Astyanax mexicanus: one gene and its partners. The protein of the gene in region 3 purifies or fractionates together with the protein of the main gene of each other region. This does not show direct contact. Links are inferred from orthologs where the notes say so. Each region holds a gene or a part of one and is shown on either strand. Other genes may lie near its edges.

The links. The genes of interacting proteins can lie anywhere in the genome.
Region 1: the proteins of bmp2k (region 3) and reps1 purify together in Homo sapiens (affinity purification with mass spectrometry; 3 studies listed by BioGRID and IntAct, counting the BioPlex papers as one, with this or other methods). This does not show direct contact. The link is inferred for Astyanax mexicanus from reciprocal best matches to the Homo sapiens genes BMP2K and REPS1.
Region 2: the proteins of bmp2k (region 3) and ap2b1 purify together in Homo sapiens (affinity purification with mass spectrometry; 3 studies listed by BioGRID and IntAct, with this or other methods). This does not show direct contact. The link is inferred for Astyanax mexicanus from reciprocal best matches to the Homo sapiens genes BMP2K and AP2B1.

The regions. Positions count from the first base shown.
Region 1 is NC_064408.1:82,929,806-82,935,611, forward strand, and holds the start of reps1 (ralBP1-associated Eps domain-containing protein 1), read right to left. Parts: upstream 3,803-5,806; 5' UTR 3,295-3,802; coding exon 3,142-3,294; intron 159-3,141; coding exon 35-158; intron 1-34. UniProt on the Homo sapiens protein: May coordinate the cellular actions of activated EGF receptors and Ral-GTPases.
Region 2 is NC_064408.1:29,622,774-29,628,579, forward strand, and holds the start of ap2b1 (AP-2 complex subunit beta), read left to right. Parts: upstream 1-1,823; 5' UTR 1,824-1,950; intron 1,951-3,373; 5' UTR 3,374-3,394; coding exon 3,395-3,431; intron 3,432-3,573; coding exon 3,574-3,679; intron 3,680-4,222; coding exon 4,223-4,358; intron 4,359-4,924; coding exon 4,925-5,170; intron 5,171-5,806. Other genes in the region: pex12 (peroxisome assembly protein 12), read right to left, coding at 1,441-1,572. UniProt on the Homo sapiens protein: Component of the adaptor protein complex 2 (AP-2). Adaptor protein complexes function in protein transport via transport vesicles in different membrane traffic pathways.
Region 3 is NC_064429.1:17,137,468-17,143,273, forward strand, and holds the start of bmp2k (BMP-2-inducible protein kinase), read right to left. Parts: upstream 3,705-5,806; 5' UTR 2,634-3,704; coding exon 2,483-2,633; intron 1-2,482. UniProt on the Homo sapiens protein: May be involved in osteoblast differentiation.

The DNA of each region.
Region 1 (5,806 bases), on a different chromosome or scaffold from region 3:
CTCATTTGAAATAACTGATCTTTTTTTTGCTTACCACTGTTTAGACTCTCCACACGAAGGGGCAGTCCAGACTGGGCTATTGCAATTAGTTTCAGGGCAATGTAGAACTGACTCCGACCAAAGTGACCAAGACGGGTGGCACCACAGAGTTCAGTGATCTAAAACAATCAATGAAGAGACAGACAATTTAGCACAACAAGTTGCCTCTAATAAAGCATAAAGTATGTTTACAAATAAATGGATATACTTTGTGTTTTTTTTGCCATTTGAGAGCATTACTATAGGTCCATTAATAATTAAATACTTATTCAATATAGGATTTACAAAACAATGTCTGTTTTTTGAAAACAACTTTGGCAAGTCACTCTATTATCACTGATGTTGAAGTGTCAAGCTAGACAGTTCTCACATGATTGCTTTTCACATGTCCAAGCAACTGTCAAGTCAGCAGATGATACAATCTAGTAGGAAGGAATAATGATGATGATTTTGAATTCATATAACTATAAGATAAGTGTTTACACATATAATCAACCACAGACAGATGTTTATATTTGACTAATATGTAAAGCTGATATTTAATTATCTAGTTATTAAACTCCAGTATAACAAAATATTCATTATACAGTGCATTTTAATGCCAGCATTTTATTAGTTTTACTGCATTTGTAATTATACAGAATCAATGGTTCTGCTTTCTGTAATGCTGATCAAGATAGACTTATTTCTAAAAACTTTATAAATGTTTTTGTATCATCATTGAAGATCTATTCACAAAAGAAATACTGGATTCTCTCGTCTGTTACAACTCCTATAACAGTGTATGTCTATTTTCAAGTGTAACAAGTGTATTATAAATTAATACATAGACAAAAACCTGTAACAGTAAAAAGTAAAGGTAAATCTGATTTCTATTGTTGATGGTATATAACAGTGGGTATAAAAGTGTGATTAAGTTGGAAACCTGGAATACCTGCTACTTTATTTAATCAACTCTTACCATAAAGATATTATTCTGGACCACCCACAAAAACATGGAGTTAAATGTTAACATATTTGTTTGTGTCTAAGCTTTCAGGCATTATTCAACATCCTTCTATCAGCCAGATATAAACTATTTTATTTGGGCCCATGTTTGGCCACAAACGGACTTTGCTTGTTTATACAATACACTGTAGATGTCTAAGCTCGCTGTGAGATCTGTGTGATATGTCTAGCATAGCTGGAATTATCATAAGTGTGGTTAACCAGCTGTAACAGTATTGAGATATTATCAGCACTGCAAAGCTATCAAGCCTGCCAGAAAGCTTACTCTGAGCTAAAGCCTCATGCGAAGGTTTAGGCAACCTTGGTGAAACGGGTTTGTTTATTTTCTGCAAGCAAGTTATCATATTCTCTATAGAAAGAAATTCATATCTATTTAAATTGTATATAGGCAAATGTAAGTGCAAAATTACTTTGATTTTGCTGAATGTAACAAAGTGTGCCATTAGAAACATTTATTATTTGGGTTATTTACAACATTTGTGTTATCTGCAGCAGTAACACTTTCTAGCAACATTAACTAACAGTTAGTTAATGTGGTTGGTGTTGCAGGGTGGGTAACAAAAATGCTTTAATTTCAATAACTATGATTTGATTCCATGGCCATGAAAACACACCACATTACACCAACAACTAGCAATTTCCCAGACAGGGATTAAGACTAGTTTTAGACTACACAGCATTTAAAATGGTATTTTGTATTAAAAGAAAAATACAGTCTAAGACCAGGCTTAACTGCTGTTCTGGAAAAAGAGGAGTCCTTGGGCACATTAGTCAAGAGCATTAACTAAATATCATACTTCAGTCTAAGGGATGAAAGGTTAAAACATTAAAAATATCATATTAACACATTGTTCAACTTTCTCTAATGTAGTCAATGAATAGGGAGAGATTTGCTGCATTTTGACCCTGAATTCTGTCACAAAATAGATTTGCACTGCGTTTTGCTACCCCGCATTAATCCGACAGCTCCTGTAGCTACTTTAAACACCTTAAATATACACACTTCAGATCCCAAACACGTCTTTAGTCGATAGACTAGTGATCCTGGGCTCCTGTGTCAGTCAATCAGCTAGCTTAGATTTTTTTGGGGAGCCAGTCTTGTCATTACATCTAGCCAGCAAGTCAGTCCCTTTTAAAGCTAATGCTATACTGGCATTCCTCAAAACTGACACAACATTTAAATCAACCTATTAACCCCTTAACATGCCTTGACGAGTATACAGGCTACAGATGTAGGTGATAAAAACCTTTTTTTCTGCAGTAAAATAACTTATTTACATTCTGAAAATTTGAGAGATTTAAAAATATCCTATGGGACATTTGGAAAAGCTGCTTATTTTCTCTCTACTTAAGAATTACAGATCATTAACAGGAATCGAACTAAATTCTGCATGTTTGAAAATAGACGTAAATACTACACAAAAATAACGAAACTGAAGGTTTGGAGGACATAAACTGTTTAATTTGTATTCAGGAAAATATTATTTTAATATGAAGTTCAGTACAGAGACAATTTTATAATTGTATACATTATAGTTTGACATTAGCAGATTTACTTAAATATGTTTTTATACTTTCTATTACAATAACAATTTTGCCTTTCAGTAATGTTCTTTATCGATCATGAAAGCTTTTTATGTAATGATTGAATAGAAATCCTCAAGATTTAGGGGTGTAACTTAATGTCACGCAGAAAACTGACAAAAATCCTGGCCTGTTAAGGGGTTAAAACATCGAAAAGCAAGGTTTTACAGTTAGTTAGCAGTATACTTAAGCCAATGTCCTTTAAAAAAAATACAGCCTACACTTTTTAGCTAGTGTTCATTAAGTTAGCTAGTAAGCTAGCTAGTGTTTTCCCTGCTCTCAGCACACACCTAACCCAACTTGATCTAGCTAATCAACTGATTCACAGCCTGTCAGTAGGGGTTATTATTAAGGTGGGTGTGTTAGGTTAGCTAGCAAGTGTTCATATGAGGAAAAGCACTAATGTTGTGAGGGCAGTGGGCCTCCAGGAGCAGGAGCAGGGCTGAGAGACACTGCTAGCTCTTAAGCTGTGTGTGTGTGTATGAGACAGTGAGTCTGCGGAACTTGCACCTGCAGCACCACGTCGTTGGAGAGCTGGGCCGCCCGGAAAAGGTCGAGCACTTTCCCGTTGGAGGCCACTTTCTTGGTGTTGTCCACATCGCAGTAGATGAACAGATCCGAGTAGTATTTCTGCTCCACATCGGTCAGGGTCAGACTCTCCATGGTGGCATACAGCTGAACTACAGGAGACCGACAGAGAGAGAGCGGAGCGGTGTCCCAGAACTCAGCCTAGCGGAACCAGACCCGGACCAAAACACACCACTGAAGACGAGTTCTACTCCCCCGGCTACTCAGCTCACTCCAGACCCGCCCGGGTGAAATGTACGGACCGCAGAGCCGCGCTGTTCCTGCCTCTCTGTCCCCGTTAGTCTCCGCTGCGCTGCCGAGGCTGCCCGTTAGCTCATTAGCAGCGACAGGCTAACGGCAGGCTAACAGCTAATCAAACTCCTGGATCCGCGGACGGGCTCGGTCCTATTACTATCAGCCTCCCGCCGCCGCTCAGCGGTTCGCACTCCGCTCTTCTCACCGGGGAGCTCGTTTTCTAGCGGCGGAGCGAGCGGCCTGCGCAGGCGTCGGCTCTGGAGAGAAATGCGCGGATCTGTTTGTTAGTAAAGTTTCGAGCTCCTTCCCTCAGCAGCGCCGCCATTCCTGAGCCCCCCGACGTCACCGCGCAGTCATCAGCAGGACGAAGGACCCGGATGACGGGCCAACGGTAAAGGGCTGTGTCTCAAATCGACACATTGCTCGCATTATAGCAGTTAGTGAGTTGTGAAATGGTACACCGCCGTTAGAAGTGCATTTATTATGGTATCTGATCTGTGAACTGATTTTTCACAGTGTATTGTTTATCTTTTAGGTATTTTTACTCTAGCTTTTTATGTAATAATTCACTTTGTGTTATTCTAACAAAAAAAAATCCGTTTAGGATAAAGAAAGTTATATCTTAATAATCTTAATTTTAATTTAAAATTTCAAGCCTGAAATGAAATATATATATATATATATTTGTTTAAATCTAATCTTGTTATTCTGCCTTCAAGTTCTCTTCAGAGCTTAAACGTGTGAGGTGATTTTCCCAGCCAGCATGGTCGATTCGGGCACTTGGCATTCACTTGAGTAGTTTCTCAATACCAAGGACGCAAAACAAACAAAAAAATCACATGACATAACAGAATAAAACAGCTGTTTGTATCAAATAAAATAAGATTTGACAACTAGAGTACTATATTTCTTTCCTCCCCTGCTAAAAAACCCAGCTCAAGACCAGCTTCATCCAGAAAAAATGCTGGTTAAAGAGCTACACTACCAGCATTGGATATGTTTTTAAGAACTTTAATCAGAACTTTAAGAACTTTAATCAGACTTGGTAAACGTGTTCTTATGTACTGAACTGCAGTTTGTGCTCAGGTGTGGACTCGGCACAGTGCATTTGGGTTGAGTCCAGGCTGAGCTTGGTTACGGGTATAGCTTGACTTTGGTTAAAACTATGAATGCTCTGGAAATAACGTTTTTGTCATCAAAAGATATCATTTGTATCCTGTACTTATCTGTTTTTATGTATAGATGAGACCAAGCCATTAAAGAGATTTGACTAGTGTTCATGAGTAGCTTCTAAAAATCTAACATACCACCAGATAGTAATAATTCTTTGACTGATAGTTAATCATTTACCAAAGTTTAATGTTAAATGTTAAAACAAATTATGCTTGTATTTATTATTTTCATGGACAATAATTATTGTTTTACTTTGTTCAATTTTGGTTGGCAACAAAATGGTTAAGCCTTTGAACCGCCAAAAGGAAAAATGTCCAATGAGGATTCTTTTCCTCAGTGAAGTTTACATAGATACAGCCAAGTGAGCGCTCCCATTGGCTGGAATTTAACCAGCAAACCGAAGGCCAAATGTGTCAGACAGACCAATTACAAATTAGGTAGAGACAGTAGTTAACCAGTTCTACATTATAGTGTAGTAAAAACAGTTTCAGGTCTTTTTAACTTTCAAAATAGATATGCCTAACCCACAAGACAAGCAGTAGTGTAGCCACGATTTAGTCAGCTGTTAAAAAATCATATTAAACGGCATGATTTTAGACTGTGATTATTGCACAAACTGAATGCGTTGGTATTAGTTATTATTGCATTTTAAAAATGTGACACATTCTTAAATTAACCACTATGTCTATAGCCCTATATATAGGCTCACCGACTGATTTCAAGATTGAAGACACCTGTTATTTTCCGCAGAGCCATCATTTCTGTCCAGGCCTGTTTAATGAGTTTAATTTAGTTGAAGCATGGTTGAAAAGCAATGTGTGACTTCCATTAGTTCATTTCTATAGATTTTTAATTATTACTTTTGTCAGATTCAAGTTATTTCTGCGACCATTGTGTTTTTTTCTTTCATTACCAAGGGGGTACCAACAATTTTGTCCACGTGACAAAATGCTACCAGACTGCAATATTGGGCAAGGTCCACTAGATGGCTTCACAAAACACGGAAAATGTTCAGCACTGGTCAAAAGTTTGGACACATCTCCTCATTCAAAGTTTTTATTTTCTTACAATGTAAATGAACACTGACAATAAAGAAACACAAAAGGAATCAAGGTGTAAACCGTTAACAGTGTTAAACAAACCGAAATACTCAAAATACATTTAGGTGGGCTTTTATCTG
Region 2 (5,806 bases), on a different chromosome or scaffold from region 3:
AGTCGGGGTAAACATTAGAAACGAACACGTTTCGAATCGGCCAGTGCACCGGTCTGCTGAGAACTACTTGCCAGTGGTCACAAAATCTAGCGGTCACAGAAAACAGTGCAACACACGGTTGTGGTGTATGGGAGCTTATCCATTTTTAGCGTTATAGATCTAAACAACGTGCTGTACATGTAAGTGATTATAAGTGTGGGGTTTGGTTTAGTAGGCTTGTGTTGTTGTTGTTGTTGTTGTTATTATATATAAATATAGTAATTTATCGTTTGCTTTAAAACGTAAAATAATTATTTAAATATGTTTCTCAATGAATAGATTAGTCGACTAATCGAAAAAAATAATCGTTAGAATAATCGTTTAAAAAATAATCGTTAGGGACAGCCCTAGTTTCATTACTTTAAAGTAACATATATTAATAGAAACAATATGGTTTAGAGGCTCTTTAATATTGAATTTAAAAGCTGTACCGAGGCCCAATATGTTAAACTATATTTGATTTTGCAAGGTTAGTAAATGTTTAAGTCAATTAAGAAAGTCTCTCGACTAATGATATCAGATCGGTATGGGGTATCAACTTTTAAGTTAACTTCTGCCTCAGTATTGGAAGTGAAAAAGTGAAAAAAGTAATAAAAAAAAAATCACTGCATCCAATACAAAGCTATAACTACAGTACCAGGCATATTTGGACAAACCTTTCACCTCATAAAATGTTTTTCTTTATTTAATTGTAGATTAATAACAAACACATAAAAACAATTAAGGCACATATATGGAATTGGAGCTTAGTGCAAAGGAAAAACAGCAACTACTATTTAGCACCTTCAGGAACTCCTTTAAGACGCTAAGAAAACTATACCAGGTGACTCTACCTCATAAAGACACTGAAAAATACCAATTGTGCAGATCTGTCCTTAAAGCTAAACATGGAGGAATCTAAAATATGAAACATATTCTGGTCTGTTTAACAATCATATTCATGTACAGCTTTAATGATTTCAATATTAAATTTATAATGTAAAAATTGATTTGTATAATATTGCAATATTTTGAGATTAAATATTTAAGAAAAACAGTATTGAATACAAAACAATAAATCAACCTGTTATGGTTGTGATGATAATCGTTATTGTACATAATAATATGGATTTGTGGTGTAACCAGAGGGATAGTTTGAAACTAACTAGTAGTTATTAAGGACTTAGTAGAGACTTTACACACAAACTTAAGAAGGAACTTACGCAAAAGTGGTGCAATGTTCTCTAACTATAATTATGCTTTCATACTATGAGAGTTAAAATTGTTGATGTCGATGTTATATACGGAATTGTTTATAGTATCACAATCTATTGCTATATACCGAATCGTAACCCCTTCAAGTATCGTATCGCCAGGATCACAACACGCAGTCCTCAGTATTCAGTTGTTTTGCGGGCTTACCTTCACGGCGTGCTGCAGTGCGGGTTTGACAGCACCCATCAACGAGTCCTGAGCTAAAACCTCAAAAATACTCGGCCTGTCTTCCACTGCTGCTGCTGCTGCTGTGGTCAGATGTGCTCCTCTCTCCGCCATTCTGAGCGAGTTTACAGATAGATAACCTACTTAAACTTCAAAATTAGACTGTAAATCAGAGAATACTTCAGTTAGGAAGCGAACAGCGGTGTCTATAACCCACTCTGCGCTCAAAACAACCAGAACCGGGCGCCATAGTGGCCAAAGTACAGTGTAAACACTGTTTAACGCATGCCATTCTCTGCACCTCGGCGGTGCAACAACATGGCTGTTCCGTGTTTTTCCAAGAGCTCCCAACTTTCCGTTCCGGCCGCTCCATCTTCTTCCCCCCTCCGTCTACAGCTGTGGCAGTGAAAGCGGCCAGCAGCAGCAGCGGTTCACTCCAGCTCCGTTTACACCCGGATACCCTTTAAAATCCTCTCCGCTCCTGTTTCCGAGGTAGGGGCTTTTATTGTTGCTGTTTTGGACAGTCTGTTTATTTGCTGGCGAGGCGAGTTAAAAGGCCGATTTAACGAATGTCGTTCATTTTTCGTAGATGATAGCTAGCGATAGGTTAGCTTAGCAAGCTACCTAGCTAGTTAGCCTAGCCCAGATAACCTAACGTTAAACGGTCACACCCAGGGGTAATTGCTATGGGAGCCTCAAATATCGAGCTTAAATACATTATTTACACTGAATATACTGTGTTTTCTGTCTATGGGTAAATAAATAAACAGTGTTCTGTCTGAGAATGGAGCTGAACGGATATGAACGGATTCCTGGCCGGCCTGCTGTGTTTCGGATGTTCATTCTGATTAGATAAAGTTATTAAGACATATTAGACGTTTCTTTCATTTGTTTTCCAGCAGAATAAGCTTTATACTGAACATATATCTCTTTTTAAATTCACCATGACTATATTAACCTTCCTACCTGGCTAACATTACACCCATAGCCAAATATATAGTAAACTACTTATATATTTTCTTAATTTATTTAAGGGTTTTTTTTTTAAGAAACTTATTTACAAATCCTTTGGATTAATGATAATTATTGAAGAGTTTACATATCATTACACCATCAAATTTTTTTAATGCATAGATATACACGCATAACTATACACACATATATTCTTACAGGTCTGGAACATAAATAAGAGACCACTTAAAAATTATGTGTTTCTTTGATTCTACCAAATTGAAAACCTCTGAATTATAATCAAGAGGAAGATGAATAGTCACAAGACATCAAACCAAACTGAACTGCTTAAATTTTTGCACCAGGAGTGGCATAAAGTTATCCAAAATCAGTGTGTAAGACTGGTGGAGGAGAACATGCCAAGATGCATGAAAACTGTGATTAAAATCCAGCGTAATTCCACCAGATATTTATTTCTGAACTCTTAAAAATATGTAAATGAGCTTGTTCTCCTTGCATTATTTGAGGTCTAAGAGGTCTGCGTCTTTTTTGGTATTTTAGCCATTTCTCATTTTCTGCAAATAAATGACAATATTTACATTTGGAATTTAGGAGAAATGTTGTTTGTAGTTTATAGAATAAAACAACAAAGCTCGTTTAAATCGTACAACACATACAACTACTACAATATTAGAGCTTATGTCCTTTGTAAGTGTTAAATAAGTTACAGGGTTTGAAAGAGATTTCAGTAAATGTCCTATAAAACATATACAATAGGGTAGGTAGCGAGATAATTTGGCTATGGGTGTAACCTTAGCTAGATTTATGTTAAATCTATCATTCTTTTTTGCCAAACGGCTATTTTTTTGCATTATAAAAAAAAAACTTTCACAACATAAATTGAGACTCCTATTTGTGGTTACATATTTATTTGTATTATTTTAATGTGTGCTTTTCTCTGAAGTGAACTTGAACACCAATCAAAATGACAGACTCAAAGTATTTCACTACAAACAAAAAAGGTAAGGTTTTAACTTTGATTGACATTTATTTTTTCTCATTAATAAATCTGAATTAAACCTCACTCACACCTGGCATGGTAGTTTTATCTGGTCAGTGCTTTATGTTTTATTAACCTTACCCTACAATTATTATTTTCTATAGGAGAGATATTTGAACTGAAAGCTGAGTTAAACAATGAGAAGAAGGAGAAGAGGAAGGAAGCGGTGAAAAAAGTCATCGCTGCCATGACCGTGGGCAAGGATGTCAGGTATGATGGGTTTATTGGACACTGTTATTTAAATGCAGGGCAAGGATCATTTTCAGGGCAATAATGTCACGTGTTCTGTGAGCTATTTGCTTTATATGTTTTTTAATTGTTTGGGCCACAGACATCGCAGTTGTAATTTATTTATAATGATTCTGTAAGGAGAACGAAATTAATTTCTTTTTTTTCTTGGGGATTATTTGTTAGAAAAATGTTTAAATGAATCCCACACTGTGTAGGCTGTAATTTAGCTTAGCTTTAGCTCATTTTCATTTTGACTTATTATTTTGCACTGCAGTTGATGCTTTATTATTATTATTATTATTATTATTATCATTCCTTATTCTGTGACTATTAAACACTCTAGTCAATAATCAAGTAAAAGTGTTTCAAAGTGCTAGCATGTTTTTTTTTTTTGTTTTTTTTTTTCATTTGACTGTTTAAGTTTGTCTCTTTATTTAAAATAGATTATGAGGAGATTTGTATATTGCTGATGGTGGTGATCTTGATTTAAATCTATCCTGCCTCGTTCTTTCCTCTCTGTAGCTCTTTGTTCCCGGATGTGGTGAACTGCATGCAGACTGATAACTTGGAGCTGAAGAAACTGGTCTATCTATACCTGATGAACTATGCCAAGAGTCAGCCTGATATGGCCATTATGGCTGTCAACAGTTTTGTAAAGGCAAGTTTTTCTCTTGATATTAAAGAAGAGATGCTTAAAATGTGCTTATGCTATTTGCAACTTAACTCTCAATAGGTATTGCTTTAAACCACTTGCTTTAAACATTATAAACACATAGAGCATGTAGCTTTTCCTTTATCTTTCAAAATGATAGTGGCATTCTTCTTTAGAAATAACCCTAGGTTAAACATGTTCTGTGAGATTTAATGTCATAAATATTCCACTGTATTCTGTTGGTTTGGAGAAAGCTTGGAGAAACTTTTGGAAGCATTTAGGCTACATTTACATCACTAAACTGAAGTAGTCCAGCTCTGTTTTTATAAGCTGTAGATGAGAGCTGTTTTATTGCAAATTTGTTTCTCTAAAGCCTATTAAATATATAAGTGGTCAATATTGCAATTATTGTTTTAGGATCTGTATGGTCATCATGATTCACAGTGTAAAATTCTGAGTATGTCATTGTTTAATTCAGGTAGAAGATCCTATCTCTATTATTTTAAATTAATCTTGTTAATCACTACAGATGTCCTGTGGTGACATTACTGTGTGTCTGTCTTTTCCCTCAGGATTGTGAGGATCCTAATCCACTCATTCGAGCCCTGGCTGTGCGCACCATGGGCTGCATTCGTGTGGATAAGATTACAGAATACCTGTGTGAGCCTCTGAGGAAATGTCTGAAGGATGAAGACCCGTATGTGAGGAAGACTGCTGCTGTGTGTGTGGCCAAGCTGCATGACATCAATGCTCAGATGGTGGAGGACCAGGGCTTCTTGGACTCCCTTAGGGACCTTATTGCTGACTCTAACCCAATGGTTCGTAATTATGCTCGTTGTGTGCTAAACGTAAAAATTCATATGTTTTATGTATAGGTTAGCTGAAGTTAACATCGTGTGGGTTGCCAGATTGGCACATTTGCCAGATCTCTCATTTTCATGGCTGCAGCATGCTGTTTGCATGTTGTTGTGTTCTATACCTGGCAACCCAGAGTGTGGAAATGGGACTGGGGAAATTGCGGTAGGCAGACTTCTTTGTGCACAGTTCCAATAAGAAAATACTGACTGAAGCTCTGCTGACAAGAGCTGCCAGTGATTAAAGCCAGCATGTTTCCTTAATAACTGATGATACATCCTTACCATTATATCACTACAGAAAATATCATCCTTAATAGTTCCAAAGGTACCGTTTAGAAAAGTGCATTGTTTCACATTAAGCATAGCCTTAAATGGCCTGAGGTAGAGTGCAGGAATTGATCAATGACATTAGGTAAGGAAGGGCTGGTCAGTCCAACGTTAAATGTGCCCTGCAACTGAGTATTCACATTGTATATATTTTGTTCCCTTACTTCATAGTCCTGAGACTACAATCATATTGTAAGTGCGTATGTATAATTCTGCTGGTATGCATTTATACTAGTTTGTTTCCCTTTAGTGAAGCATACAGAATCGAGT
Region 3 (5,806 bases):
GGGAACTCCTCAAGCTCCATCCAAAAGCCACAGTTGTTTGTGCAGTTAAACTTCTGCACAGGCAGCAAAATTACGTAATTTCATCCAGTCAGCAACATCCAAGCTACAGAGACCCTTTAGCTGGAAACAGACGCAGAACAAATCATGACATATTTCCCAGAAAGGAAAAAGCTGCAGCTTGTATTGCACAAAAGCCCGAAGTACAGATCGGAAGATGATCTGCATTAAGTGCGAAAAGGCAGAATGTCTTTTTAAGCAAGAAGCACAAACAGTAGAATTCTCGAAACCAATCCTGCTCCTGGAGGGCTACCTTCCCAAAGATTTCAGACAACCCTAATCCAGCCACCTGATCCAACTAATTACTGCCTTCCAAACTTCTCAGTTGACTACAAGGGGTGTGTTAGATGTTGGTTGGAGCTGAAACCATAAAGAAGGTAGTTCCCAATGGGGGACTTAGAGACTTTACTACATTACAGAACATTTCTGCCATGCAGGACTGTTTTTAAATAAATTACAACACAATCAGAAGACCACCACTCAGAAAATATATTAAAATATTTTATGTATATAAAGAGTAACACAAAACAGGCCATTTATTTCTAAAGAGATAAAGAAAGAATATAAACTGCCTCAAAACAAAATGCAAATATTGTAGAAAACTGGCCCTTTTAAGCAAACATTGAATGACAACTGAGTAATCTCTAGGGTGGTGTACATCTGGCTTCATCTAAAGCTTTGCGGAAACGGGGTATCCTTGGGAGGCCTGTGATGACTGTGCTTGCTTGTGTGAACCCCTTGCTCTCTCTACAGCTGACGTGCCGAGGACTGAAACAACAGGATGGACACATACTGTTATGGCCAAGGCCAAGGTCAGTGACAGGCCTTCAGCATGCTTTCCTACAAAGACCTACATTTTTGGTGGCCTGGACTAGGTGGTGTACAGGCTGCTCTTAATATGGAACTGTTTGTGAGTTCTTCAGCATCATGTCAGCTACAGTATCTCAACTTTTCTGACAGATAAGACAGTGTCAGTTCCTGTATTTGTACTTTAGGAATTGATAGTTCACACATATTCTATGAAGTAATTTTCATACAGGATCTAGCACTTCCTTATCTTTCAGGATATTTTTCATACTGCAATGAATATAATTATAAAGTACTCACTGAAAAAACTAGATTAGAGACATTAGACACCAAGGTCGCACAATATCTAGTTTTAAAATAGACATTGTCTTAAGCGCATCTGATATTTTCATGTGAGGCAAATTAAAACATGTCAACCTACAAGTACAGACAAGAAACAGAAAAAGACTGTTTGAACAACATGCTCTCAGACATGATGCTCATAGCTACCAAAGTTTTGCTACACTATAATATAGGAGTGTGCCGTACTGTAGACAATAATATCGTATAACTTTTTTTCACACAAAGAAATATCCATATCATGGTGTTCTTAAAAGCTTCTTAAAATTATATTAGTTCTACTATTTACATTGAATTGTTTGTTGTTTGCATTATATATGCATGCAGTAAATATGCTGCACTATTTTTGTGGTAGATTTTTGTTACTGATTTTTACAACACTACAAAATAAGGTTCTTAGTAATTTACTTCTTACTCATAACACACATATGTTTACAAATATTTTTTTGGTTTCTACTAAATGAATAAATAAAGCTTTAATATTTCTTTTGTGGCAGTCGTTTTTCCTAATTTTTTTTATCCCATTTTCTCCCCAATTTACAATGCCAATTACCCAACCCACTCATAAAGACCCACCCTTTTATGATTGATGCCCGAACACCAGGAGGGTGAAGACCAGCACATGCCTCCTCTGATATATGTGAAGTCAGCCAACGCCTCTTTTTGAGCTGCTGCTGATGAAGTATTACAGAGTAGCATCAAAGCGCACTTGAACAAAAGCGCAGTGACTTGGATTCCGATACATCAGCTCACAGACGCCTTGTGCTGACTGTCATCAACCTAGGAGTGATGATCGCCATCTACCCACCCAGAGAAAGCAAGGCCAATTGTGCTCTTTTAGGGCTCTGGCAGCTGATGGCAAGCTACATGAACCGAATTCAGCTGGACCACCATTTATTTTTTAAACATTGTGCTTTTTTCATTACACCAATTATATCATTATGGCAGAAATACCCTGAATTATTGTGATGATATTTTTGGGCCATATCGCCCACTCCTACAAGAAAAGGGTATCTAGCCAACACTTTACTTTAATAAGGATCACACTAACTAACGACAATAATAAACATTGTTAAATTGTCAACTAATTATTAATTGACACTAATTAAAGACACTGTTTAAGATTACAAAATGTTTATAATATTTTATAATTCATTTGTAGACATTCTGTTGTAGTTAAGTACTGTTAATTCAACATAAGTTACCCTCATTGTAAAGTGTTAACGCTTACCTAACAAAGAAATAAATAACACTTTATTCACAGTAATCATTTCCATACCTTCAGCGATCAGCTCGTCCACGGTGACCTGGTATCTCCCGATGGCGAACACCCTCCCGATAAAGTTGCTGCCCCCGGTTCCGGACCCGGAGCCCGAGGAGCCTCCGAGCCCCCCGCTTTCAGACTTTGGCATTCGAGAAAACTTCTTCATCCTTACCCCCTAGCTACGATTCTGCCTTCCCCGAAATGAGGGGAGCAGTACAGAAGAGTCCAAATCACACAAACACGACCCTCAAACTTCTAGCTGCTCATCTCCTCCAGCTCGCCCCGCATCGCTGCTCCAGCCCGCGGTCACTTCGGAGCCATCGCGGCGGTCCCTCGGGTTTCCTCCAGAGCGGAAAACCCAGCCACGCCTGCCCTCTTTCAGACCACTTCCCCGGGCTAGAGCTGAGTGACGGGGTGGATGTGTGACTAGCAAGCAAGCTAACTAGTTAAAATTCGCTAGCTAATGTAGTTAACTGTAGTTTAACTGTACGTTAACTGTTAGGTAGTTAGCTGGCTACCAATGCTAGCAGGCTGTCTGCCAGTTAACAACTAACGAGACTGAGATTCGTTAGTTAGATATAGTTAGCTAACCTAGCTTAACTAGCTAGCTAGCAGGCTAACAGCGCGAGCCCCGCTCCGCTCCACCTTTAACGGTCACCCGCTCAGTCAAAAGCAGTTGGCCTCGAGTCAGGCGGCCGTGGTAGCTAGTTCGGCTAAGCTAACTAGCTAATTTTCACCAAACACAACGGTGAAACTAGGAAAATGACTTAAAGTGGGTGTGTTAGTTAGCTAACTAAGCTCAAGCCAGTCAACTCTCAGTCCTCTTGGTCCTCCCTCTCTCTTTCTCTCTCTCTCTCTCTCTCTCTCTCTCTCTCTGTTTTGAGTGGAGGAAGATAACACACACACAGACACACACCTCCCCCGCCGCTCACTTCCCCTTCCACAGTTAGCCTCAGACAGCTAGCGCGCTGGCTAACCCTCCTCCCCGCTCCAGATGCCTCCTCTCGCCGTTAGCTCAGCTAGCGTAGCTAACCTAGCTACGTTACCCACTCTCAGTCAGTCAGCCAGTCCAGGCCTGCAGCCAGGCTTCAGCAGTAAACTCGACTTATTCGGTCAGACCGCGCTCCCCCGCACCGCTCCCCTCCCTCCAGCTTCGGCCAAAAAACTTCCAGCTCCCGTGACTCTCCGCCGCGGAGAGAAGTGGGAGGTTTCTGTTGTTACCCAGCGCGCGCGCCCGCCCGCCTGATAGTGAAGGCAAGTTCGATTCATTCTAACGAACCGACTCTACCAAACTGTAAATTCCAATGAATCAAACCGTTCACTCAAGGAGTCGTTTCCGTGTTCAGTGATTACATCCAGTAATATGCAGTACAGTATAGCAAACAATTTCAGTCTTTTTAATCAACAATTTAATCATACTAGCAATCCAATTTACTATTAATAATATCAGATCTACAGATTTCTGTTCCTTAAAAACACTCATGCTTTACTAGTGCATCTAAAATAATAAAAATAATAATAGAATATTATTGAGTTTATCAAAGTTACTTCAGTAAGCTATTTCCAGTGATGGTATAGTTACTTTGAAAAAGTAATCCGATTACTGATTACTAATTACTCCTTTAAAAAGTAACTTAGTTACTTTATGGATTACTTGATTTTAAAAGTAACTAAGTTACTTTACAAGTTACTTTATTAGTTACTTTCAGCAGCTGCAGACACCACCTCCCGCCGCCTTAACATAAACATTATAACCAGTTTTGCCAATACTCCGTTTATTGGAAAATGCATTTTTAACAGCAACAATTTATCTCTATTAAGTTGAACTATTTCCTAAAAAAATATTTTTTTTTTTTATAAAAATAAAAAAATTAACTTAACATAAATATTTTTTTATAAAAAATAAAATATGGTCTTTCTTGATTTTACTAAACATAAATGAGTGATGAAAAGGCATGAAGTGCTGAAAGATTTCTAGGAAAACAGTACATTGATTTTGGACTTGATAGAACACAGTGGACCAACACCAGCAGATGACATGACTCGCCAAACCATCACTGATTGTGGAAACTTCAAATTAGACCTCAAGCAGCTCGTGGTCTCTCCACTCTTCCTCCAGACTCTGGTACCTTGATTTCAAAATGAAATTCAAAATTTGTTGATGTTCAGTGATGATTTGGAGAACTATTATTAGCAATAGTATTATTGATAGTCAAAACCTGAATTGTTCACCTGATTTCTATACCTATAGCATACATCCAGCACCTCAGGAGCAATAGAGATATTCTTTTTTTGTGACAGTGACAATGAACATACATACACATTCACTGTTTTATTTTTTATATTCAGCACATGGTTGTTAGGTGCATGCACTTTGTTGGAACACTCATTTTGCTTTAGTGGATTAATAAAGTCTTATCTTATCTCACATATGAATGACTTGGCTAAGTAAATTTTATGCTTGTGTCTACATACAATGGTGTTTACCAAGCAACCCCACTTTGTCTTCTTACCATTTGTGTTCCACTGATATTAGATGTTATTAGATTACTGTCTCACATGGAAGATAAAAAAACGGTGCACTGACCTGCAGGATATGAATGTGTGGCCTCCTGCACTGAATGTGATTGTGATTTCTGCCAAACTGCATTGTCCCATAATAAAGAGTGCTGCACTGATAATCTTCAGAATGGGCCTTATACACCAATTGTACTGTTTTACTTAATTTCCATTATAAGTTACAATACAAATGTAATTTAGAGCATTTGTAGAAAATGGGAAATGGTCCAAATAATGAAAAAGGTACAGTGCTTGTAAACCTTAAATAATGCAAAGAAAACAAGTTCATAATTATTTATAAACAACAATGCTAATGTTTCAAAATATTCAGAAATCATTATTTGGTGGAAGTACACTGATTTTTAACACAGCTTTCATGCCTCTTGGCATGCTCTCCACAAGTTTTTCACACTACTTTTGGGTGACCACTCCTGGTACAAAAATTCAAGCAGTTCAGCTTTGTTTGATGGCTTGTGACCAACTTACATCCTACATGATTATAGGTTTTTCAATGGGGTTCAGGCTGGAGATTGACCGTCAACTGAATGTCAGTCAGCAACCGCAGGATGACATCAAGAGACAATACTTAATTCCACACAGCTAGGTGTCAATGAAGGACCACCAGATTAAGACAGTGTCATGGCCAGCCCAATCTCCAGACCTGATCCCCATTGAAAACCTATAAAATATAATCAAGAGGATGAAAATCAAATCTGACAATCTGACATCAAACAAATCTGAACTGCTTTTGAGCCAGGAGTGGCATAAGGTCACTCAAAA